Anolis sagrei: one gene and its partners. The protein of the gene in region 1 interacts with the protein of each later gene in a pairwise test. Links are inferred from orthologs where the notes say so. Each region holds a gene or a part of one and is shown in the gene's direction. Other genes may lie near its edges. The genes, in order: LMNA, VAMP4 and BNIP3L.

The links.
Region 2: the proteins of LMNA (region 1) and VAMP4 interact in a two-hybrid assay, tested with the Homo sapiens proteins (2 studies listed by BioGRID and IntAct, with this or other methods). The link is inferred for Anolis sagrei from reciprocal best matches to the Homo sapiens genes LMNA and VAMP4.
Region 3: the proteins of LMNA (region 1) and BNIP3L interact in a two-hybrid assay, tested with the Homo sapiens proteins (2 studies listed by BioGRID and IntAct). The link is inferred for Anolis sagrei from reciprocal best matches to the Homo sapiens genes LMNA and BNIP3L.

Annotation. Positions count from the first base shown.
Region 1 is NC_090032.1:22,671,604-22,680,133, forward strand, and holds the start of LMNA (lamin), read left to right. Parts: upstream 1-5,255; 5' UTR 5,256-5,285; coding exon 5,286-5,671; intron 5,672-8,530.
Region 2 is NC_090024.1:130,545,787-130,553,571, forward strand, and holds the start of VAMP4 (vesicle-associated membrane protein 4), read left to right. Parts: upstream 1-4,355; 5' UTR 4,356-4,479; intron 4,480-7,785. UniProt on the Homo sapiens protein: Involved in the pathway that functions to remove an inhibitor (probably synaptotagmin-4) of calcium-triggered exocytosis during the maturation of secretory granules.
Region 3 is NC_090027.1:6,901,503-6,909,640, forward strand, and holds the start of BNIP3L (BCL2/adenovirus E1B 19 kDa protein-interacting protein 3-like), read left to right. Parts: upstream 1-4,595; 5' UTR 4,596-4,689; coding exon 4,690-4,783; intron 4,784-8,138.

The DNA of each region.
Region 1 (8,530 bases):
CAGATATATGACTGACAGATGGAAAAATAGATGATTGAGGGGGGGGGGGAGAAGCTATCATGGAATGCTGGAGTTGGAAGGGATCCCCAAGGGCCATCCAGTCCAACCCGCTTCTGCCATCAAGGAAGACACCATCAAACTCCTCTCAACAGATGGCCATCCAGACATGGAGATGAGTGACAGGTGGAGAGGGAGACAGATGATTGAGAGAGAGAGAGAGAGAGAGAGAGAGAGAGAGAGATCTATTCTAGAATGCTGGAGTTGGAAGGAACCCCCTTCTGCCATCAAGACACTGTCTAATCCCTCCCAACAGATGGCCACTCAGCTGTAGATTGATGGCCAGAGATATGGCTGACAGATGGAGAAAGAGATAGATGATTGAGAGAGAGAGAGAGAGAGAGTATATCATGGAATGCTGGAGTTGGAAGGGATCCCCAAGGGCCATCCAGTCCGGCCCCTTTCTGCCATCAAGAAAGACATCATCAAACTCCTCTCAACAGATGGCCACCTAGCCATAGATTGATGGCCAGAGATATGACTGACAGATGGAGAAAGGGATAGATGATTAAGAGAGAAAGAGAGATCATCGAATTGGAAGGGACCCTCCAGAGTCATCCAGCCCAGCCCCCTTCTGCCATCAAGGATGACACCATCAAACCCCTCCTGACAGATGGCCATCCAGCCATGGAGATGACTGACATGTGGAGAGGGAGAGAGATGATTGAGAGAGAGAAAGATCAATTCTAGAATGCTAGAGTTGGAAGGGATCCCCAAGGGCCATCCAGTCCGACCCCCTTCTGCCATCAAGGAAGACACCATCAAACTCCTCTCAACAGATGGCCACCCAGCCGTAGATTGATGGCCAGAGATATGACGGACAGATGGAAAGATAGATGATAGAGAGAGAGACCCTGGGTGTTGATCCCCAGCCTGCCGGTCCTGAAGGTCTTCCCTCCCAGGCAGGCCCCCAAGGCGTTATGGGGGGGGGAGCTCCCCCAAATGTGTTCTGGGCTCCTGAGCCGGATTCCCCCGCCGCCTGGGGGCTTCCCCCCCCCCTTGAGAGAAAGAGGGGAAGAGACTGGCCTCCGCTCTCCCTCCCCATCCAGCCGTGACTCATTCCTGCCGTGATGCGGGCCAGATATTAGATTACTGGCTCCTGTAAAAAAGCTGTCTGTGTGTATATGTGCGTGTGGCATGTATGTGTGCCTCTGTTGCCGTGGCGACGGGAGTGACTCACTGCCGGGAAACCGGTCTGGGTTTTCCTCCCTGCGTCCAGCTTGAGGCCTGTTTGGTCTCCTGGGAAGCCTCTCGTTTGCAAATGGGAAACAGCCCGGCACTGGGCTCTCCAAGGCGCTCTGAAGAATCCTCTGAGGGGGTCCGTAGCCACAGGTGCAGGCAAAACGTCAGGAAAGACGGACACTGGAACAGGGCCCGGAAACCCACAGCAACCCATTAAACAGTCAAAGAGTGTCGGGTGGGGTCTCCGGCCTGCGCCTGGCTCTTGTCTTCCCCAGTGTCTTCCTAGTTCTCGTTCCTATACAGTACTTTTGAGATTCCTTGTGTGATAGATAGATAGATAGATAGATAGATAGATGGAGGGATGAATGGGTAGGTAGGTAAGTGGATGAACAGACAGATAGATTGAAGTCGATAGGGAATTTGAAAGGGTCTAGTCAGAGGAGAGACCCTGCGGCCCCACCAAAGAGGGATTGCTACTTTGGCGAGTCAATCCGTCAACTCGCGGATATGGGGGCCCGAGGAGTTTCCGTATCCGCGGTTTGAAGGAACGCAGTTTCGGCATCCCAGGCAGGCCAGCGGCTTCCCGTGCCCCGGAAAAGGTTGAATTCATGCATTACATACTGGTGAGTCAGGAATGGGACACAATGTATCACTACAAAGAGGTGAAGGTTACAATTCAGTGAGTCTTTATTAAGGGTTTAGTTACAATGTTTGGGCAGGGGATCGCTACGTTGGAGAGTCGATCCGTCCACCCACGGATACGGGGCCCCGAGGGGTTTTCGTATCCGCGGTTTGAAGAAACGCAGTTTCGCCCTCCCTGGGACGCCTGGAAGGCATCCCAGGCGGTGAGTCAATCCGTCAACTCGCGGATACGGGGTCCCGAGGTGTATCCGTATCCGCGGTTTGAAGAAACGCAGTTTCGGCTTCCTTGGGATGCCTAGAAGGCATCCCAGGCGGGCCAGTGGCTTCCCACACCCCGGAAAAGGTTGAATTCATGCATTACATACTTGTGAGTCAGGAATGGGACACAATGTATCACTACGAAGAGGTGAAGGTTACAATTCAATTAGTCTTTATTAAGGGTTTAGTTACAATGTTTGGGCAGGGGAAAGAAACGAAAGGAGAGAGCTCAAGGTTGCAAAGAGTCACTGGTTTAGGCTGCTGCTGGGGCATATTTCATCAGCGCTTGCCCAATGGAGCATCCAAGGAACTGCGGAACCCCCTGCGGCTGGTCAGATGAGCTTGAAAGCAGGGGGCTGGGGTGCCCTTGGCATCAAGATGACAGAGAGTGAGGTACATAAACATGGGCAGATTGATGCACAAGGATGCACAGTGGGTGCTGGTGAACTACAACTCCCATATGCAAGTCCCATCATCCATGGTCATCCTCCTCTAAAGTGCACCAAGATGTGGAATGGGTCACGGGGGCTCTGTGTTCCAAGTTTCGTCGTGATCCGTCATTGGTGTGGGTTGCAGTGGTCTCAGGAAGTGAGTGAAGGTACTGCAAGTCCCATCGTCCATGATCCATCCTCCTCCAAACTGCACCAGGATGTAGATTGGGTCACGGGGGCTGACAAGTTTGGTCTTGATCAGTCATTGGTGTGGGCTGTAATAGTCTCAGGCAGTGAAGGTACTGCAAGTCCCATCATCCATGGTCATCCTCCTCCAAACTGCACCAGTATGTAGAGTGGGTCATGGGGACTCTGTGTGCCAAGTTTGCTCTTGATCCATCATTCCTGGTGGTCATAGTGGTCTCAGGAAATGAGTGAAGGTACTGCAAATCCCATCGTCCATGATCCATCCTCCTCCAAACTTCACCAGGATGTAGAGTGGGTCATGGAGGCTCTGTGCGTCCAGTTTAGTCTTGATCAGTCATTGGTGTGGGCTGTAATGGTCTCAGGCAGTGAAGGTACTGCAAGTCCCATCGTCCATGGTCCATCCTCTTCCAAACTGCACCACAATGTAGAGTGTTTCCTTATGGTGGTGTTTATGATCACTGGACAATGCCTAGAGAGATGGGTGGAGGGATGTGGAGAGAGCAGGCCTGGTGTTGTGGACTCCAACTCCCACAATTCCTAGATTGACTGGATTGACCTTGAAGGAGCTGGGGGAGGTGACGGCCGACGGGGCACTCTGATGTTGGCTGGTCCCTGAGGTCACAAAGAGTTGGAAACGACTGAACGAATAAACAACAACAAAAAAAATATTTATCAATTAGTTCAATTAGCCTCCCCGCATAAGTGGTACCTAAATTTCCTACTTGACAGAGGCAACTGTCTTTTGGGCTTCAAAGGGGAGCTGTCACTTCAACATCCACTTGTGACACTGATGGAGTACTTCCTCATTCCTTTGCATGTTGCTGGAGAGTTTTAGGGCATTATAAATTAGTTAAATTAGCCTAAATTTCCTACTTGACAGTTGCAACAACTGATCAAATGAACAACAAGAAAATTAGTTCAATTAGCCTCCCTGCATAAGCAGTACCTAAATTTCCTACTTGACAGAGGCAACTGTCTTTGGGGCTGCAAAGGTGGACAGCAAGCTAGACCAATGGTCGGGAGCTTACTCCAACCTGGGCTGGCTTTGAACTCAGTCGTGATTTTAATGCAGCTGGGTCCCAACCCGGTAGGCTGCTGGGAATGGTGGGAGTTGAAGTCCAGAACACGGGGAAGGAGGGAGGGAGGGAGGGAGGGAGGGAGGGCCCAAGTTGGCCCAGGCCTGGGAGAGGTAGAGAGTCTTGACTCCAAGGCAGGGCGAGGTGTATGTTGTGCGCAGGCGCGGCCTTGCTGTGAGCGGGAGGGAGGAAGCAGGGGGCGTGGCAAGAAGCAGGGGGCGTGGCCAGGAAGGCGTGTCTATTTGGGGGAGATGGAGAGCCTGGAGTCTTGAGGCGAGGCGTGCGTTGTGCGCAGGCGCGGCCTTATTGTGGGAGGGTGGGAGGGAGGAGGGGGCGTGGCGAGAAGGAGGGGGCGTGTCCAGGGAGGCGAGTCTATTTGGCCCAGAGAGAGAGTCTTATATTGAGCCTTGAGGCGAGGCGTGTGTTGTGCGCAGGCGCGGCCTTGCTGTGGGAGGGAGAAGGGGGCGTGGCGAGGAGGAGGGGGCGTGTCCAGAGAGGGAGTCTCTTTGGGAGAAATTGAGAGCCTGGAGTCTTGAGGCGAGGCGTGCGTTGTGCGCAGGCGCGGCCTTGTTGTGGGAGGGTGGGAGGGAGGAATCAGGGGGCGTGGCGAAGAGAAGGGGGCGTGTCCAGGGAGGGAGTCCCTTTTGGGATAGATAGAGAGCCTTGAGTCTTAAGGCAAGGCGAGGTGTATTTTGTGCGCAGGCGCGGCCTTGTTGTGGGAGGGAGGAGGGGGCGTGGCGAAGGGGAGGGGGCGTGTCCAGGGAGGCGGGAGAGAGAGAGTCTTATATTGAGTCTTGAGGCGAGGCGTGCGTTGTGCGCAGGCGCGGCCTTGTTGTGGGAGGGAGTGAGGAAGCAGGGGGCGTGGCGAAGAAGAGGGGGCGTGTCCAGAGAGGGAGTCTCTTTGGGAGAAATGGAGCCTGGAGTCTTGAGGCGAGGCGTGCGTTGTGCGCAGGCGCGGCCTTGTTGAGGGAGGGAGGAAGCAGGGGGCGTGGCGAAGGGGAGGGGGCGTGTCCAGGGAGGCGGGAGAGAGAGAGAGAGAGAGTCTTATATTGAGCTTTGAGGCGAGGCGTGCGTTGTGCGCAGGCGCGGCCTTGTTGTGGGCCGAGAGGGGGCGTGGCGAAGAGGAGGGGGCGTGTCCAGGGAGGGAGTCTCTGGGATAGAGAGTCTTGAGGCGAGGCATGCGTTGTGCGCAGGCGCGGCCTTGCCTTGTTGTGGGAGAGAGGGAGGGAGAGAGGAGGGGGCGTGGCGAAGAGGAGGGGGCGTGGCCAGGGAGGCGAATCTATTTGGGATAGAGAGCCTTGAGGCGAGGCGTGTGTTGTGCGCAGGCGCGGCCTTGTTGTGGGAGGGAGTGAGTGAGGAGGGGGCGTGGCCTGGGGGTGGGCGAGGCTATTTAAGGCGTGCTGCTCTCCTCAGCCGCGGCATTCCTGTCAGGATGGAGTCCTCGGTGGGCGGGAAGCGCGGCACGCGGAGCACTGGAGCCGGGGCCTCGGCCTCCTCGTCTTCTTCCTCCATGGGGACCCCTCTGTCCCCGGCTCGGATCACGCGGCTGCAGGAGAAGGAGGACCTGCAGGAGCTGAACGACCGTCTGGCGGTGTACATCGACAAGGTCCGCTCTCTGGAGTCGGAGAACGCGGGGCTGCGGCTCCGGATCTGCGAGTCCGAGGAGGAGGTCAGCCGCGAGGTCAGCGGGCTCAAGGGCGCCTACGAGGCCGAGCTGGCCGACGCACGAAAGACCCTCGACTCCGTCGCCAAGGAGCGGGCCAGGCTCCAGCTCGAGCTCGCCAAGACCCGCGAGGAGCACAAGGAGCTCAAGGCCAGGTCAGTCCGTCCCTCAGGGGGTGTCCACACTACAACTCCCAGCAGGCCTCAGGGGGAAAGGGTGCCAGGAATGATGGGAAATGGAGTCCCAAACACCTCAAGGGAAGAAGGCCCCCTTGCCAGGCCTGCCCCCCCCCTCAGGGGCGAAAGGAAAGGGCCCCAGGGTGCCAGGGATGATGGGAATTGGAGTCCAAAACACCTCAAGGGAAGGCCCCCTTGCCAGGCCTCCCCCCCCTCAGGAGAGTGGGACTACAACTCCCAGCATGCCTCAGGGGAAAAGGAAAGGGCCCCAGGGTGCCAGGAATGATGGGAATTGGAGTCAGAAGCTCCCCCCCCCCCAAGTAGATCTCAAAGGAAGAAGGCCAGCCCTAGAATCATATTGCCAGGCCTCCCCTTGACCTGCTTGGGACTACCACTCCCAGCATGCCTCAGGGGGAAAGGGGAAAGGATGCCAGGGTGCCAGGAATGATGGGAGTTGGAGTCCCCAACACCTCAAGGGAAGAAGGCCCCCCCCAAGTGGATCTCAAAGGAAGGAGGGAGGCCAGTCCTAGAATCATATTGCCAGGCCTCCCCTTGAATGGCTTGGGACTACAACTCCCAGCATGCCTTGGGGGGAAAGGAAAGGGCGCCAGGATGCCAGGAATGATGGGAATTGGAGTCCCCAACACCTCAAGGGAAGAAGGCCCCCTTGCCAGGCCTTCCCCCTCCCCTCAGGAGAGTGGGACTACCACTCCCAGCAGGCCTCAGGGGGAAAGGGGAAAGGAGGCCAGGGATGATGGGAATTGGAGTCCAAAACACCTCAAGGGAAGAAGGCCCGGGGGTCCCCACACACACCCTCTCGCCAGGGGACTACAACTCCCAGCAGGCCTCAGGGGGAAAGGATGCCAGGGTGCCAGGAATGATGGGAGTTGGAGTCAAAGGGGGCAGGCCAGCCCTAGAATCATATTGCCAGGCCTCCCCTTGACTGGCTTGACACTCCAACTCCCAACATGCCTTGGGGGAGGGGGGAAGGAAAGGGCACCAGGGTGCCAGGAATGATGGGAGTTGGAGTCCCAAACCCCCTCAAGGGAAGAAGGCCCCCCCAAGTGGATCTCAAAGGAGGCAGGCCAGCCCTAGAATCTTATTATAAATTATGAATTGTTATGCTATTTATTATTGTTAGGCCTCATCGGGAAGATACTTATATTATATGAATTACAAGCTATTTATATTATACTAGCCCTACCCTGCCACTCATTGCTGTGGCCAACCTTGCCTCCCTCTTTCTCTCCTTCCTTCCTTCCTTCCTTCCCTCCCTCCCTCCCTCCCTCCCTGTTCTTTCCCTTCCTCGTCTTTCTCTACCAGTTTCTTCCTTTGCTCTTTCGTTCCATCCTTCCTCGTCTCTTTCCTTCCTTTCTTCCTTCCTTCCTTTGCTCTCTCTCTCTTTCATTCCACCTCTCCTTCCCTCCTTCTTTCCCTTCTTTCTCTCCCTCCTTCTCTCCTTCCTTCCTTCTCTACCCTTCTTTCTTTCCTTCCTTCTCTCCTTCCCTCCTTCCTTCTCTACCCTTCTTTCTCTCCTTCCCTCCTTCTCTACCTTTCTTTCTTTCCTTCTCTCCTTCCTTTCTTCTTTCCCTCTTTCTCTCCCCCTTCTCTCCTTCCTTCCTTCTCTATCCTTCTTTCTTTCCTTCCTTCTCTCCTTCTCTCCTTCCTCCTTTTCTTCCACCTTCTTCCTTCTCTACCCTTCTTTCTTTCCTTCTTTCCCTCCTTCACTCCTTCTTTCCCTTCTTCTTTCCCTCTTTCTCTCCCTCCTTTCCTTCCTTCTCTCCTTCCCTCCTTCTTTCCTTCCTCCTGCGAGGAGCACAAGAAGCTCAAGGCCAGGTCAGAGGCCTCCCCTCAGGAGAGTGGGACTCCAACTCCCAGCATGCCTTGGGGGGAAAAAGGAAAGGGCCTGAGGCTGCCAGGAATGCTGGGAATTGGAGTCCAAAACACCTGGAAGGAGGGAGGGAGGGAGGGAGGGAAGGCCTACACCTCACAGCCACCCAACAATTATAAAACTATTAGTTATTTATAATGTGACAGATAATCACCTAATAAATAAAAATAATGAGTGAATATAAATATAGAATAAAATGATAATCAATAATGAAATAAATTGTGGAGAAAGGGGTATATAATAATCAAGTAATAGTAATATATGCATAGCCACTTTTAGTCTCCTTCCAGAGAAAAAAGGTTGCAAAGAAAACAATACTATATAATGATATATAGAGTCGTAGTAATGATATTTATTTATTGAGTCATCAGCAACCAGTCAATTATATTATAGTGATGATGATGATGATGATGATTACATGGAGGGGGGTGGAATCCTATTAAGTTTGCTGGGGGAACCTTGGATTCTTCCCAGGAAGGCCAGAGATCCCTTTCTGGGAAGGAAGCAAGGCAGGGCCGTTGAACCCCTTCCCCTCCTTTGCTGCACTTTTTGCAATGGAGTCGGACTAGATGCCCTTTGGGGGCCCCTTCCCAGCACCTTGCGGAGAAACCAGGCTTCCTTTCCCTCCATCTCCATTTTGGCAGCCCTTTCAGGGTGTGGCCGGGAAGCCATGTGGCAGGACCCTCCCTGCCAGCCTCTCCCAAATGCCAGCGGGCCCTGCCAGGACACACAATCTAGATATATATATATATAGACCTATATCGGGCTGTTCTGTCTTGCATTGTCTCAGCGGACTTGTCATGAGGCAAACATGCTTTATTTTCTGTGGAATTGCAAACTGCCATGCACTCCAGAAGAAGTCCTAGCAGAAGCGCAACCCTTCGTTCCGTCAACACACTATGTGTGTGTGTGTGTGTGTCTGTATATATTTGGATATGCTGTTCTGT
Region 2 (7,785 bases), on another chromosome or scaffold:
TTCCTGACCTGAGAATAGCAGAGGAGCATACATGTAATAAGACAAATTTCATTGCGCCGGGGGGGGGGGGGGGGGGAGAAACGAAAGGTGAGGAAGATGAATTACAAGCTCTTGTCTCTTATGATTCTAAAATAAACACAAAAGTTTGCATTTTGAGCCCAAAGGGTGTGGAATGGCTGTTGAGGATTCCTGTTGATCCCCAAGTGAGTTTAACCTGGGTTAACCCAGAACAGCCCTGTGTGGCATTTATCCACCATGGGGTTGATTGCACCTCAAACTGACCTAAGTCGTTAGTGTAGATATGCCCAAAGAAGTATCAAAGCCCAGTAAAGTAAAAGACAAAGATCCTCTAGTTGCCAGACCTCCTTTGTCCAATTTTAATCCTGCTTTTCATATGATTGCTACAATAGTAAGAACAAGAGTGATGATTTAGCAATGAGTGTTTTGTTAACGCTACTCAGCAGAAATTAATTAATTAATTAATTAGCTGTATTTATATTCCGCCCTTCTCACCACGCAGGGGGCTCAGAGCCGATTACAATGTATGCATATATGGCAAACATTCAATGCCAAAGACACACAACAGATATAGACAGACAGTCAGAGGCTATTTAACTTTTTCTGGCCGCCAGGGGAACTGTCGCTTTCATCTTCCATCTGCGACACTGATGAAGTACTTCCATATTCCCCGCATGCTTGCTGGAGTCTTTTTATGGCCTCATAAATTAGTTAAATTAGCCTCCCCACACAAAGGTGGTACCTAATTTTCCTACTTGACAGATGCAACTGTCTTTTGGGTTGCAAAGGTCGACAACAAGGTACATAATTGGTTGGAAACTCACTCCGACCCAGGCTGGCTTCGAACTTATGACCTTTTGGTCAGAAGTGATCTTAATGCAGCTGACACTCAGCCAGCTGCGCCACAGTCCCGGAACTGAGAGTTCCATGGAAAGTTACCAATTCCTTTAAAAATAATGTTACAATCTCTGATTATAGTTACTTTCTCTATGGCTAATGTCATGTGACCCAAGTTTATTGCTGCTGTCATAAAACAGCTCTGTATGTTGATGGCATTTTAATCTTCCTTAAAAATCCTGAAATGTCCCCTTCTCAATTTTGAAACAGGCCATGAATCACATAGACATATATTCAGGCATCCAAAGTAATTACTGTACCTGAATGTTCCACCTCCATAATAAAAATGCTGGCAATTCCTCACTAACGTACCATTTCATCCCATTTGGAGTTTCCAAGTCATGGCATAACAATTATTATTCTTATTATGAAAGGCAGATCTGAATGGACTCCATGTTCAATTTTATATTGCCACTACCTTTAATCCTACGTCTTGTCTTTCAATTGTTAGATGTGTAATGTAATTTTTGTAATGTCATTATTCAAATTTTATAGCAATGTCTTTATTATTACAGCATTGCATCTTTGCTGTTATTTGTTGGAAACCCCCCCCCCCCCGAGTCTGAGATAGGGCGGGTGTAAACAAAAGTAGGGCAAACACTTCTGTCGCGAGGCAGGATGGATCTTGTTTTTCTTATCTCACCTCTGCCTCCAATTATAAACTTATAATAATAATATGAGGAGCCCAAGATAGAGATGATGCGTGTTGCTGAGACTTTGTTTATATATATATATATATATATATATATATATATATATATATATATAAATAAATAAAAAGTGGGGTTTATATGAGAGAGATGACTTCTAGGACACCTGTTTGTGTCACTTTAATATGTGTATCCCAGTGCCATAAAACTGTCTTCGGTTCCACAAGATCTCATCTTCTCTTTCCTGGAGAAACTTCTCTTTAATAAGTAGTCACAAACACTCAGTATTTTGAACTGATCAGAAACAACATTTATTTAAAGGTTTCTCAGGTTCACATAAGCTTGACGGTTTTTTAAAAAACTGTTTTTTAACTGTTGGTTCTTCGGAGAACATGAAACTGTTACTATTAAATTTTTAACAATGGCTTATCTTCTCTCTCCTTAATGTTTGTTATTTCTTTTCTTTGAAACTTAGTTTCTTTTCTCAGTCCCACTTTTATTGCTTCAGGCTTGACACTGAAGTCATAAATAAAACTACCTGGAATCCCTTTCTTCTAGCAACCCAGCTAGATTATACTACAGACTTAAATATTTCTACCCTTACTTACTCAACACTGAAGATTAAACACTTGGCTCACTACCTGTAGCCACCTATTCCTTCTGACTACCTGTCAGAGACTTAAACTACTTGGTCTAGCTCCACACAACTACAACCAACCATCCTTTGGTTCATCTGGGCACCAACTGACTCTTTTCAAGTTGTGTTCTTTCAAACAGTGGCAGTTAGCTCCGCCGCTTTCTCTTCTGCCTTGAGGACTATGTCGCTATGGCAATGCCTTAGCTCAGGCTACCCATCAGCTGCACCTATATCATAATATCAATAAACATATGTAAAACCTCCATTTTTAATTAGACATTTCATTACAGCGGGATATAAATAAAGTCGAAGGCTTTCATGGCCAGAATCACTGGATTGTTGTAGGTTTTTTCGGGCTATATGGCCATGTTCTAGAGGCATTCTCTCCTGATATTTCGCCTGCATCTATGGCAAGCATCTTCAGAGATAGTGAAGTCTGTTGGAAGTAGGAAAATAGGTTTATATATCTGAGGAATGACCAGGGTGGGACAAAGAACTCTTGTCTGTTGGAGCTTGGTGTGAATGTTTCAACTGACTACCTTGATTAGAATTTGATGGCCTGGCAGTATTAAAAAAACTCTAAAATTACAACAGCAAAACAACAGAGAGGAAACAATCAGGCACACCTAATCACCTCTCAACAAAAGATTACCCCAGGCACTAACAAGCCACACCAAACAACTGCCAGACCATCAAAAGTGAAGCTACCTATCCGACCGCATCTCTGCCTATGAACCCACCAGGACTTTGAGATCTTCCGGGGAGGCCCTGCTCTCGATCCCGCCTGCTTCTCAATCACGGCTGGCGGGGACGAGAGATAGGGCCTTCTCGGTAGTGGCTCCTCGGCTATGGAACGCCCTTCCTACGGACATTAGACTAGCACCATCTCTAATGGTATTCCGCAAAAAAGTGAAGACCTGGCTGTTTGAGCAGGCGTTCGAATAATTAGTGCAATGATTGGTTAATGAACACTGGAATGGAACAATGGATGACGAATCTGGAACATGTTTTTGATTATGAGACGACAGTGAATGGGTATTGTAGTAACTGTTTATTAATTGTGTAATGTGTTAGATTGTTAACTGTTTTTATACTGTAGCACTGAATTTTTGCTGTTCGTATTTGTTGTGAACCGCTGTGAGTCGCCTTTGGGCTGAGAACAGCGGTATATAAGTAAGGTAGGTAAATAAATAAATAAATATAAACCCCTTTTTCCCAGCTCCAGCAGACCTCACCTCTGAGGATGCCTGCCATAGATGCAGGCGAAATGTTAGGAGAAATGCCTCTAGAACATGGCCATATAGCCCGAAAAAATCCACAAGAATTGAGAAATAAATAAATGCTAATCAAGGTGGTGAGTTGAAACATTCACACCTAGCTCCAACTAACAAGAGTCCTTTGTCCCACCTTGGTCACTCCACAGATATATAAACCCTTTTTCCTAGGTCCAACAGACCTCACTACCTCTGAGGATGCTTGCCATAGATGCAGGCGAAACGTCAGGAGAGAATGCCTCTAGACCATGGCCATATAGCCCGAAATAACCTACAACAACCCAAAGTTTACTATTGTTATGATACGTCCTGTGCATAAACTAAAAATATAAGGTGATAATATCCAGCCTTTATCTGAATGAACATCCTGTTGATTGGAGCCTATTCTGTTTTGCCATACTATGCCCTGATAGTGGCTACTTTGTTCAGAGCCTGATTTACACATCAAAGTAATCAAATGTTGTGGTACTCCCATTTGTTTTAGAACAGCCCAAAGGTTTGCATGGTTTCCCTCGTTTTCTCCAGCTCAATGTGATGAAGTCCTTACTTTGCTTCAGGGCGAAAAGCCTTCGCAGGACGATACTCCCAGGCGGAGAGTCAGAGGTGGAGCGAGAGGGCCCACCGTGGCCTGCTTTGGGGCGACTCCAAGCGCTTGCCCCAGGCTTCTCCGGCACGAGGCCTCGCAGAGAGGCCGCGGGGTCACAGAAACGCCCTTTAAAGCTCCCAACGCTTTCCCGCCTTTCTTGGGAAAGGAAAGACTCCGTCGCGCGCGCCCCCCTCCAGGCAAAGCGCGAGGAACCGGAAGTCGCGCGAGCAGGGCTTCTAGGGACGCTTTCGGCAACTGAGAGAGCCGCTGACGTCACCCCGTCTCCTCAGTCATTTCCGTGCCGGTCCGGAACAGGAAGTCAGTGAAGAAGAGCGGGGTTTTCTGGGAAGAAGCCTATGCGCTCCTGAGAGGCCTGGCTCCGTCGTATGTGTGAGGGGATGGAAGTCGTCGGATAAGGTGAGGAACAAGGGTGAGGGAGAGGGAGGCAGAAGGCCGGGGTGGCCAACGAGGGAGAGCTCCCCCCGAAGGCGGGCCTGTGGGAAGGGGGCGTCGGGTGAGAGGAAGCCCTCCCACACAGACATACTGCAAGCGACTGTGGGACCCTTGGCCAATGGAGGGCTGGCCCTTTGGAAGGGCGAGGGAGGCTCAGGGCGGTTTCCAAAGGCAGCCATAGGAACAAAAGAGACAAACAAGCAGTTAAAACGCACAGTTACAAATAAAAAACAATAAACCATGTAATCGAGCGACCCCGTAAATAACACCACAGGCTGATGATGATGATAATAATAATAATAATAATAAAACTTTATTTGTATCATCTCCCCAAGGGACTTGGTGCGGCCAAGCCCACGATACATCAATAAACAAAACATCAATAAAACAATCAAAACAATTCATATTTTTTATTTGTCGTGTCAGGGCAACCAGTCAATTATTATTTATTTATTTATTTATTTATTTATTTGCTTCACTTTTATACCGCATATTTCAGCCCTTGACGGGCGACTCAATGCGGTTTACAGTGCACTTAAAAACACAGCAATACAACAACCGGGACGACAATGTTGCTCCACAACAATTAACATCAGACAGACAAATCTACAAACAACATATATAGCGCCTCCGTTAAAGTCAGATCCATTCTCATAGTCATTGTGCCGTTCCTATGTTCAGTTACCGTCTTCCTTAGTTAGTTGCATTGCCTAGCCAAACGCTTGTTCGTAAAGCCAGGTCTTGACCATTCTCCGAAACGCCAGCAACGAAGGTGCCTGTCTGATGTCTGTTGGTAAGGCATTCCATAGCCGAGGGGCCACCACTGAGAAGGCCCTGTCTCTCGTCCCCGCCAAGCGCGCCTGTGACGCAGGCGGGATCGAGAGCAGGGCCTCCCCAGACGATCTCAATGTTCTAGTCGGTTCGTAGGCGGAAATGCGTTCGGAGAGGTAAGCGGGGCCAGAACCGTTTAGGGCTTTATAGGCCAAGGCCAGCACCTTGAATTGAGCCCGGTAGCGGATTGGCAGCCAGTGGAGCTGGCTCAGCAGAGGAGTGGTGTGCTCCCTGAGTGCCGCTCCTGTTAGCAACCTGGCTGCCGAGCGCTGGACCATCTGAAGCTTCCGGGCCGTTTTCAAGGGCAACCCCACGTAGAGCGCGTTGCAGTAATCAATCCGGGATGTGACCAGAGCGTGGACCACCATGGCCAAGTCCGACTTCCCAAGGTACGGGCGCAGCTGGCGCACAAGTTTGAGTTGTGCAAATGCTCCCCTGGACCCGAGACCTGGGGTTCCAAGCTTAGCGAGGAGTCCAGGATCACACCCAAGCTGCGAACCTGCGTCTTCAGGGGGAGTGTAACCCCGTCCAACACAGGCTGTAACCCTATACCCTGTTCGGCCTTCCGACTGACCAGGAGTGCCTCTGTCTTATCTGGATTCAATTTCAATTTGTTCACCCTCATCCAGTCCGATACAGCGGCCAAGCAACGGTTCAGGACCTGAACAGCCTCCTTAGTAGTAGGTGGGAAGGAGTGACAGAGTTGGACGTCATCTGCGTACAGATAACACCGCACTCCGAAACTCCGGATGATCTCTCCCAACGGCTTCATGTAGATGTTAAATAACATGGGGGACAATATTGAGCCCTGCGGAACCCCACAAGTCAATGGTTGTGGGGTAGAGCAATTGTCCCCCAGCAACACCTTCTGAGTACGATCCTCTAGGAAGGACCTGAGCCACTGCAGAGCAGTGCCACCAAGGCCCATTCCCGCAAGGCGTCTCAGAAGGATACCGTGGTCGACGGTATCGAAGGCCGCTGAGAGGTCCAGCAGAACTAACAGGGACACACTCCCCCTGTCTAGCTCCCTGCGCAGATCATCCACCAAGGCGACCAAGGCTGTCTCGGTACCATGTCCCGGCCTGAAACCAGACTGTGCCGGATCTAGATAATCAGTGTCTACCAAGAATGCCTGGAGTTTACATTTACATTACATTTCTAACAGTACAAAGCAAAGAAACAGTCAAAATACAAAATTTGTGAGTTTGGTAGTTGGTTAAATGTCCTTTGACCAGTATCTGGCCACTGGGAGTGCTTCTGGTGTTGCCGCAAGAAGGTCCTCCATTGTGCATGTGGCAGGGCTCAGGTTGCATTGCAGCAGGTGGTCAGTAGTTTGCTCCTCTCCGCACTCGCATGTCAAGGATTCCACTTTGTAGCCCCATTTCTGAAGGTTGGCTCTGCATCTCGTGGTGCCAGAGCGCAGTCCGTTCAGCGCCTTCCAAGTCGCCCAGTCCTCATTTGGTATCAGCCATTGGTTGAGGTTCTGGGTTTGAGCCTGCCACTTTTGGACTCTCGCTTGCTGAGGTGCTCCAGCGAGTGTCTCTGTAGATCTTAGAAAACTATTTCTAGATTTAAGTCGTTGACATGCTGGCTGATACTCAAACAGGGGATGAGCTGGAGATGTCTCTGCCTTGGTCCTTTCACTATTGGCTGCTACTTCCCGGCGGATGTCAGGTGGTGCAATACCAGCTAGGCAGTGTAATTTCTCCAGTGGTGTAGGGCGCAGACACCCTGTGATAATGCAGCATGTCTCATTAAGAGCCACATCTACTGTTTTAGTGTGGTGAGATGTGTTCCACATTGGGCATGCGTACTCAGCAGCAGAGTAGCACAGTGCAAGGGCCAATGGACAGACCAAATGTAATAAATTAAAATTAAAAAATAATACTGATGTGAACAAGGTAGGATATAACTGGGATAGGATTTTCAGAGAGAAATGAGGGAACACGTCAGTCCTAAATCAGTGGTAAAGTGCATTTTGAGGGCATATTACTGAGAGTTTTCCTTATTCTGGGAAGGCACATCTGTATACAATAACTTGGCTATCCAGTATGTTAAGGAAATATGATCATCATCGTCAGACAAGATACAAACAAAAAAGAGCTAATAATCTTCCTCTCCAAAGGCTAATGTGCAAATGTATGTTTTAAAGTGATTATTGAAGGAGAGGAGTGAAGAGGTTCTGATTTCCATAGGGATGGAGTTCCAGCGGGAGGAACGAGCACAAAGAAGGCCCTCTCATGTTCCCACCAACCACACTTGAGACAGGGTGGGACTGAGAGTAGGGCCCCCTCCAATGACCACAGTGTCCATGTTGGTTTATATGTAGGAATGCGATTAATTAACTAGCCTGGACCAGAACCATCTAAACTGTTTATCCCACAGCTGAGCAGTTCATTCTGTCAAGAGGTTCATCCCATTGTTTAGGTACAGGGTGAG
Region 3 (8,138 bases), on another chromosome or scaffold:
AGGTAGTGAGGTTTGTTGGAAGCAGGAAAAATGGGTTTATATATCTGTGGAATGACCAGGGTGGGACAAAGGACTTTTGTCTGCTGGAGATAAAAAGGTAAAGGTAGTCCCCTGACATTAAGTCCAGTCATGTCTGACTCTGGGGTGTGGTGCTCATCTCCATTTCTAAGCCGAAGAGCCAGCGTTGTCCGTAGACACCTCCAAGGTCATGTGGCCATTGGCATGACTGCATGGAGCGCCGTTACCTTCCCGCCGGAGCGGTACCTATTGATCTACTCACATTTGCATGTTTTCGAACTGCTAGGTTGGCAGAAGCTAGGGCTGACAGTGGAAGCTCACGCCGCTCCCCGGAATCGAACCTGCGACCTTTCGATCAACAAGCTCAGCAGCTCAGTGCTTTAACCCACTGCTCCACCGGGGGCTGCTGGGGACAGGTGTGAATATTTCAGCTGATCACTTTGATTAGCATTCAATGGCTTGGAAGTGCCCGGGGGGAATCCCTTGTTGAGAGTGATTTTATGTGCCTGTTTGTTTCCCCTCTGTTGTTTTGCTGTTGTGATTTTTGAGTCCTTTAATACTGGTAGCCAGATTTTGTTCATTTTCATGGTCTCTTCCTTTCTGTTGAAATTGTCCACATGCTTGTGGATTTCAATGGCTTCTCTGTGTAGTCTGACATGGTGGTTGTGAGAGTGGGCCAGCATTTCTGTGTTCTCAAATAATATGCTGTGTCCAGGTTGGTTCATCAGGTGCTCTGCTATGGCTGATTTCTCTGGTTGGAGTAGTTTGCAGTGCCTTTCATGTTCCTTGATGCATGTCTGGGCGCTGCGTTTGGTGGTCCCTATGTAGATGTGTCTACAGCTGCATGGTATACGGTAGACTCCTGCAGAGGTGAGAGGATCCCTCTTGTCCTTTGCTGAACGTAGCATTTGTTGGATTTTCTTGGTGGGTCTGTAGATGGTTTGTATGTTGTGTTTCCCCATCAGCTTCCCTCTGCGGTCAGTGGTTCCCTTGATGTATGGCAGGAACACTTTTCCTCTGGGTGGATCTTCATCTTGACTTACAAAACTAAAGTTCTGGTGGTGAAAATTTCAGAACTGTAACGAAACTTTCAAAATTTAATTATTATTTCATTATTGGTGATTTGCTTGGTTCCCTTGCAGCTCTTCTGATGTCTGAGGTGGAGTCTCCATTGGCCTGGAGAGCCACTTTTTGCACAGTCTGCCAAGGCTTTAATTGTGCTTCTTTTTTGACTTGGGTGATGGTTGGCTTTTTTTTTGACTACACAGAGAAGCCATTGAAATCCACAAGCATGTGGACAATTTCAGCAGAAAGGAAGAAACCATGAAAATCAACAAAATCTGGCTACCAGTATTAAAGGACTCAAAAATCACAACAGCAAAACAACAGAGGGGAAACAAACAGGCACATGAAATCACTCTCAACAAGGGATTCTCCCCGGGCACTTCCAAGCCATTGAATGTTAATCAAGGTGATCAGCTGAAACATTCACATCTAGCCCCAGCAAACAAAAGTCCTTTGTCCCACCCTGGTTATTCCACAGATATATAAACCCATTTTTCCTACTTCCAACAGACCTCACTACCTCTGAGGATCCTTGCCATAGATACAGGCGAAACGTCAGGAGAAAAACTGCCTCCAGAACATGGCCATATAGCCCGGAAAAACCTACAACAACCCAGTGATTCTGGCCATGAAAGCCTTCGACAATACAAATTATTATATTTATTATTATTATTATTATTATTATTATTACTATTATTCAGACTGTAAAGCAGGCCTGGGTCAACTTTACAACTAACACTGAGGCCTACCTCACACTGAGGCCATTCTCTACTGTATTAAATATTACTATATAAATAATATAATATTATTATAATGTACTATACCATTATATAGTAATATTATGAGTAATATCACATGTAATATAATATATAATTACATTGTTATTAGTATAAATACAATATATTAGCATAGTACAAAATCAGTATTACTATTACTATATAAATAATATAATATTATATTGTACTACACCATTATATTATAATACTAGCGGTCCTCTGCCACGCGTTGCTGTGGCCTTGTCTGGTGATATCCAAATAAAGTAATGAGAAAGTGTTGGTTTCTAATATATGTAATGTCTTTATGCTTGTGGGATTTCTTGATGTTTCTTTGACAGTGTTGACCTAGAAATTGTCTGGTTTGCCTACTCTGGAACATGCATCATATAATTGTCCATCTTTAGGAGTCCCTTTCAAATCTATAATACTTTATCTGTGTGTGTGTGAATCATATATATCTATTGATACCTATGGCTGGATGGCTCTCTGTTAGGAGGGCTTTGATTACGTTTTCTTGCCCTGGTGAAGGGAGTTGGACTGGATGGCCTTAAGTATTTTCTGTTGGTCATGGGGTTCTGTGTGGGAAGTTTGCCCCAATTCTGTCATTTGTATTTTTGTTGCTATCATTCAGAATAGTCTTTGATTGTAGGTGAACTATAAATCCCAGTAACTACAAGTCCCAAATGCCAAGGTCTATTTCCTCCAAATTCCATCTGTGTTCGTATTTGGTCATATGGAATATTCATGCCAAGTTTGGTCCAGATCCATCATTGTTTGAGTCCACAGTGCTCTCTGGATGTAGGTGAACTACAACTCTCAAACTCAAGGCCAATGCCCACCAAACACTGCTAGTATTTTCTGTTGTTCAGGGGAATCCTGTGTGCCAAGTTTGGTTCAATTCCATCGTTGGTGGAGTTCAGAATGCTCTTTGATTGTAGGTGAACTATAAATCCCAGCAACTACAACTCCCAAATGACAAAATCATAATTTTTTGAGTGATGGTCACTCCTTGTGTAGTGAGATGTTTTGTTGCCAAATTTGGTGTGATTTCGTTCATTGGTTCTTTTGTTTTTAAGGTACTCATTATGAACAGAGCATTTATATATATATATAGATATATAGATTACATAACTATATATACATGTATATATACATACAATATATTATTAGCATAGGACAATATCAGTATTAAATATTACTATATACATCTAATTAAATATTACTATATTATTAATATAATATTATATTGTACTGTACCATTATATTGTTATATCATGAGTAATATTACATGTAATATAAATATATAATTATATTGTTATTAGTATAAATACAATATATTGTATTAGCATAGTACAACATCAGTATTAAATATTTAAAAAGGTAAAGGTAAAGGTAAAGGTAGTCCCCTGACATTAAGTCCAGTTATGTCTGACTCTGGGGTGTGGTGCTCATCTCCATTTCTAAGCCGAAGAGCCAGCGTTGTCCGTAGACACCTCCAAGGTCATGTGGCCGGCATGACTGCATGGAGCGCCGTATTAAATATTACTATATATATATTTAAATATTACTATATTAATAATGTAATATTATATTGTACTATACCATTATATTGTAATACTATGAGTAATATTACATGACATATAAATATATAATTATTAAGCTTGGGCAATCCATGCTTCTAAATGGTTCTAAAGTACTTACAAAACTAAAGTTCTGGTGATGAAATGACATCTCCTGGGAAGACAAGCGGACAAACGTCAGCGTGCTGGAAGAAGCAAAGACCACCAGCATTGAAGCGATGGTCCTCCGCCATCAACTCCGCTGGGCCGGCCATGTTGTCCGGATGCCCGACCACCGCCTCCCAAAGCAGTTGGTCTACTCCGAACTCAAGAATGGAAAATGGAATGTCGGCGGGCAGGAAAAGAGATTGAAAGACGGGCTCAAAGCCAACCTCAAAAACTCTGGCATAGACACTGAGAACTGGGAAGCCCTGGCCCTTGAGCGTTCCAGCTGGAGGACAGCTGTGACCAGCAGTGCTGCAGAATTCGAAAAGGCACGAGTGGAGGGTGAAAGAGAGAAACGTGCCAGGAGGAAGGCGCATCAAGCCAACCCCGACCAGGACCGCCTTCCACCTTGAAACCAACGCCCTCACTGTGGGAGATGTGGGTCAAGAAGAGGGCTCCACAGCCACCTACAAACCCACAAAAATAGTCATCAAGGAAGACCATCTTACTCGTCCAACGAGGGATCGCCTAAGTAAGTAAGTAAGGTGGTGAAAATTTCAGAACTCTAACAAAACTCTCAAAATTTCATAATAAATGGCAGTTCCTAATTGGTTCTGCCATTAAAATCACCAATAATGAAATAATAATTACATTTTGAGAGTTTTGTTAGAGTTCTGAAATTTTCACCACCAGAACTTTAGTTTTGTAAGTACTTTGGAACCATTTAGAACCATGGATTGCCCAAGCCTAAGAATTATATTGTTATTAGTATTATACTGCATTGCATTATAATATTAGGCTTCAGGAGAGCAGTCAGGGCGTGGGCTTATTTGGGTGCCTTGATCGCTTGCCTTCTCTGCAAGGAGCCGCCTACACTCTTGCGCCTGCGCACTGAAGGCTCAGTCCTCTGGCCACACCCCCTCTCCGCGGACGTGAGAAGCGTCAGGGAGGAAAAGCGGAAAAGGGGGGCGTGATCTCCCGGGCGCATGCGCGCTGGCTTAAAAAAGGCAGGCGCATGCGCAGCACACGCCCCGTGTTGTTTGGTGTTGTTGTCCCCCTCTCTCTCTCGCCAACCCAGACGGAAGGAGAGTCCCGCGCCGGCCGCCATGTCGTCCTCCCCTCCTCAGGAGTCGCCTCACAACAACAACAACCCCCCGCCGGGGGAAGGGGAAGCGACGCCAGCCGAGGCCGGGCTCAACAGTGAGTAGGAGCGGGTGGGCGAAGGGGAAAGTCAGGGCAAGCCCAGGGGAAGGCGAGGGGTCGCCTCCCCGCCTGAGGGAACCTTCCTCTCGGCCTGGATTGGCTGGGCCTGTCAAAGATAACCTGAATCGAACAGGAAGAATACCCCTTGGGTCTAGCAGCAGTCCTTTTGGGATGACTTACTTACTTAGGCGATCCCTCCTTGGACGAGTAAGATGGTCCTCCTTGATGACTATTTTTGTGGGTTTGTAGGTGGCTTTTTTTTTTTAATCGTGTCATCAGCAACCATTGTATTACAATTCTAACAGAGCAAAACAAACACAGAGATTAAAAAGAAAAAAAAAGAAAGAAAAAAAACCACACAGATTTTGCAAATTTGGTAGTTGACTAAATGTTCTTTGACCAGTATCTGGCCCCTTGGAGTGCCTCTGGTGTTGCCTCAAGAAGGTCCTCCATTGTGCATGTGGCAGGGCTCAGGTTGCATTGCAGCAGGTGGTCAGTGGTTTGCTCCTCTCCCCACTCGCATGTCGAGGATTCCGCTTTGTAGCCCCATTTCTGAAGGTTGGCTCTGCATCTTGTGGTGCCCGAGCGCAGTCTGTTCAGCGCCTTCCAAGTTGCCCAGTCTTCTGTGTGCCCAGGGGGGAGTCTCTCGTCTGGTATCACCCATGAATTGAAGTGCTGGGTTTGGGCCTGCCACTTTTGGACTCTCGCTTGCTGGGGTGTTCCAGCGAGTATCTCTATAGATCTAAGAAAACTGTGTCTTGATTTAAGTCGTTGACGTGCTGGCTGATACCCAAACAGGGGATGAGCTGGAGATGTCTCTGCCTTGGTCCTTTCACTATTGGCTGCTACTTCCCGGCGGATGTCAGGTGGTGCAGTACCAGCTAGGCAGTGTAATTTCTCCAGTGGTGTGGGTCGCAGACACCCTGTGATAATCGGCATGTCTCATTAAGAGCCACATCTACTGTTTTAGTGTGGTGAGATGTGTTCCACACTGGGCATGCATACTCAGCAGCAGAGTAGCATAGCGCAAGGGCAGATGTCTTCACTGTGTCTGGTTGTGATCCCCAGGTTGTGGCAGTCAGCTTTCGTATGATGTTGTTTCTAGCGCCCACTTTTTGTTTGATGTTCAGGCAGTGCTTCTTGTAGGTCAGAGCACGGTCCAAAGTGACTCTCAGGTATTTGGGTGCGCTGCAATGCTCCAGTGGGATTCCTTCCCAGGTGATCCTCAGAGCTTGACTGTTCTTAAGGTGAAAGGCGCATGTCTGTGTTTTAGATGGATTAGGGATCAGTTGGTTTTCCCTGTAATAGGCAGTAAGAGCTGTGGAGCCCTATTCTTGACCCGCATCTTCTCCCACAGTGAAGGCATTGGTTTCCAGGTGGTCGGGGTTGGCTTGACGCGCCTTCCTCCTGGCACGTTTCTCTCTTTCACCCTCCATCCGTGCCTCTTCAAATTCTGCAGCACTGCTGGTCACAGCTGACCTCCAGTTGGAGTGCTCAAGGGCCAGGGCTTCCCAGTTCTCAGTGCCTATGCCAGAGTTTTTAAGGTTGGCTTTGAGCCCATCTTTCAATCTCTTTTCCTGCCCTCCAACATTCCGTTTTCCGTTCTTGAGTTCGGAGTGGAGCAACTGCTTTGAGAGACGGTGGTCGGGCATCCAGACAACGTGGCCGGTCCAGCGGAGTTTATAGCAGAGGACCATCGCTTCAGTGCTGGTGGTCTTTCCTTCTTCCAGCACACTGATGTTTGTCCGCTTGTCTTCCCAAGAGATTTGCAGGATTTTCCAGAGGCAGCGCTGATGGAATCGTTCCAGGAGTTGCATGTGACGCCTGTAGACAGTCCACGTTTCGCAGGAATAGAGCGGGGTTGGGAGGACAATACAGTGAGGGCATTCGTTTCCAGGTGGAAGGCGGTCGGGGTTGGCTTGATGCGCCTTCCTCTTGGCACGTTTCTTTCTTTCTCCCTCCATTCGTGCCTCTTCAAATTCTGCAGCACTGCTGGTCACAGCTGACCTCCAGCTGGAGCGCTCAAGGGCCAGTGCTTCCCAGTTCTCAGTGTCTATGCCAGAGATTTTAAGGTTGGCTTTGAGCCCATCTTTCAATCTCTTTTCCTGTCCTCCAACATTCCGTTTTCCATTCTTGAGTTCGGAGTAGAGCAACTGCTTTGGGAGACGGTGGTCGGGCATCCGGACAACGTGGCCGGTCCAGCAGAGTTGATGGCGGAGGACCATCGCTTCAATGCTGGTGGTCTTTGCTTCTTCCAGCATGCTGATGTTTGTCCACCTGTCTTCCCAAGAGATTTGCAGGACCAGATCTTCGGGGCAGTGCAGTGAGGCAAAATGGTGTCCTGAGATGGTTTTTAAGCAACTTTTAATGTGAACATAAGTGATTTTAATGCTTGCATATATTTATGGTTTTATACAATCATAGAATCAAAGAGTTGGAAGAGACCTCATGGGCCATCCAGTCCAACCCCATTCTGCCAAGAAGCAGGAATATTGCATTCAAATCACCCCTGATAGATGGCCATCCAGCCTCTCTTTAAAAGCTTCCAAAGAAGGAGCCTCCACCACGCTCCGGGGCAGAGAGTTCCACTGCTGAACGGCTCTCAGGAAGTTCTTCCTCATGTTCAGGTGGAATCTTCTTTCTTGTAGTTTGAAGCCATTGTTCCGCATCCTAATCTCCCGGGAAGCAGAAAACAAGCTTGCTCCTTCCTCCCTGTGACTTCCTCTCACATATTTATACATGGCTATCATATCTCCTCTCAGCCTTCTTTTCTTCGGGCTAAACATGCCCAGCTCCTTAAGCCACTCCTCATAGGGCTTGTTCTCCAGACCCTTGATCATTTTAGTCGCCCTCCTCTGGACACATTCCAGGTTAGAGTCAATATCTCTCTTGAATTGTGGTGCCCAGAATTGGACACAATATTCCAGGTGTGGTCTAACCAAAGCGGAATAGAGCATGGGGAGCATGACTTCCTTAGATCTAGACACTATGCTCCTATTGATGCAGGCCAAAATCCCATTGGCTTTTTTTGCTGCCACATCACATTGTTGGCTCATGTTTAACTTGCTGTCCACAAGGACTCCAAGATATTTTTCACACGTTCTGCTCTTGAGCCAGGCATCGTCTCCCATTCTGTATCTTTGCATTTCATTTTTCCTGCCTAAGTGGAGTATCTTGCATTTGTCCCTGTTGAACTCCATTTTATTAGTTTTGGCCCATCATCTCTCTAATCTGTCAAGATCGTTTTGAATCCTGCTCCTGTCCTCTGGAGTATTGGCTATCCCTCCGAATTTGGTGTAGTCTGCAAACTTGATGATCATGCCTTCTAGCCCTTCATCTAAGAATACCACTT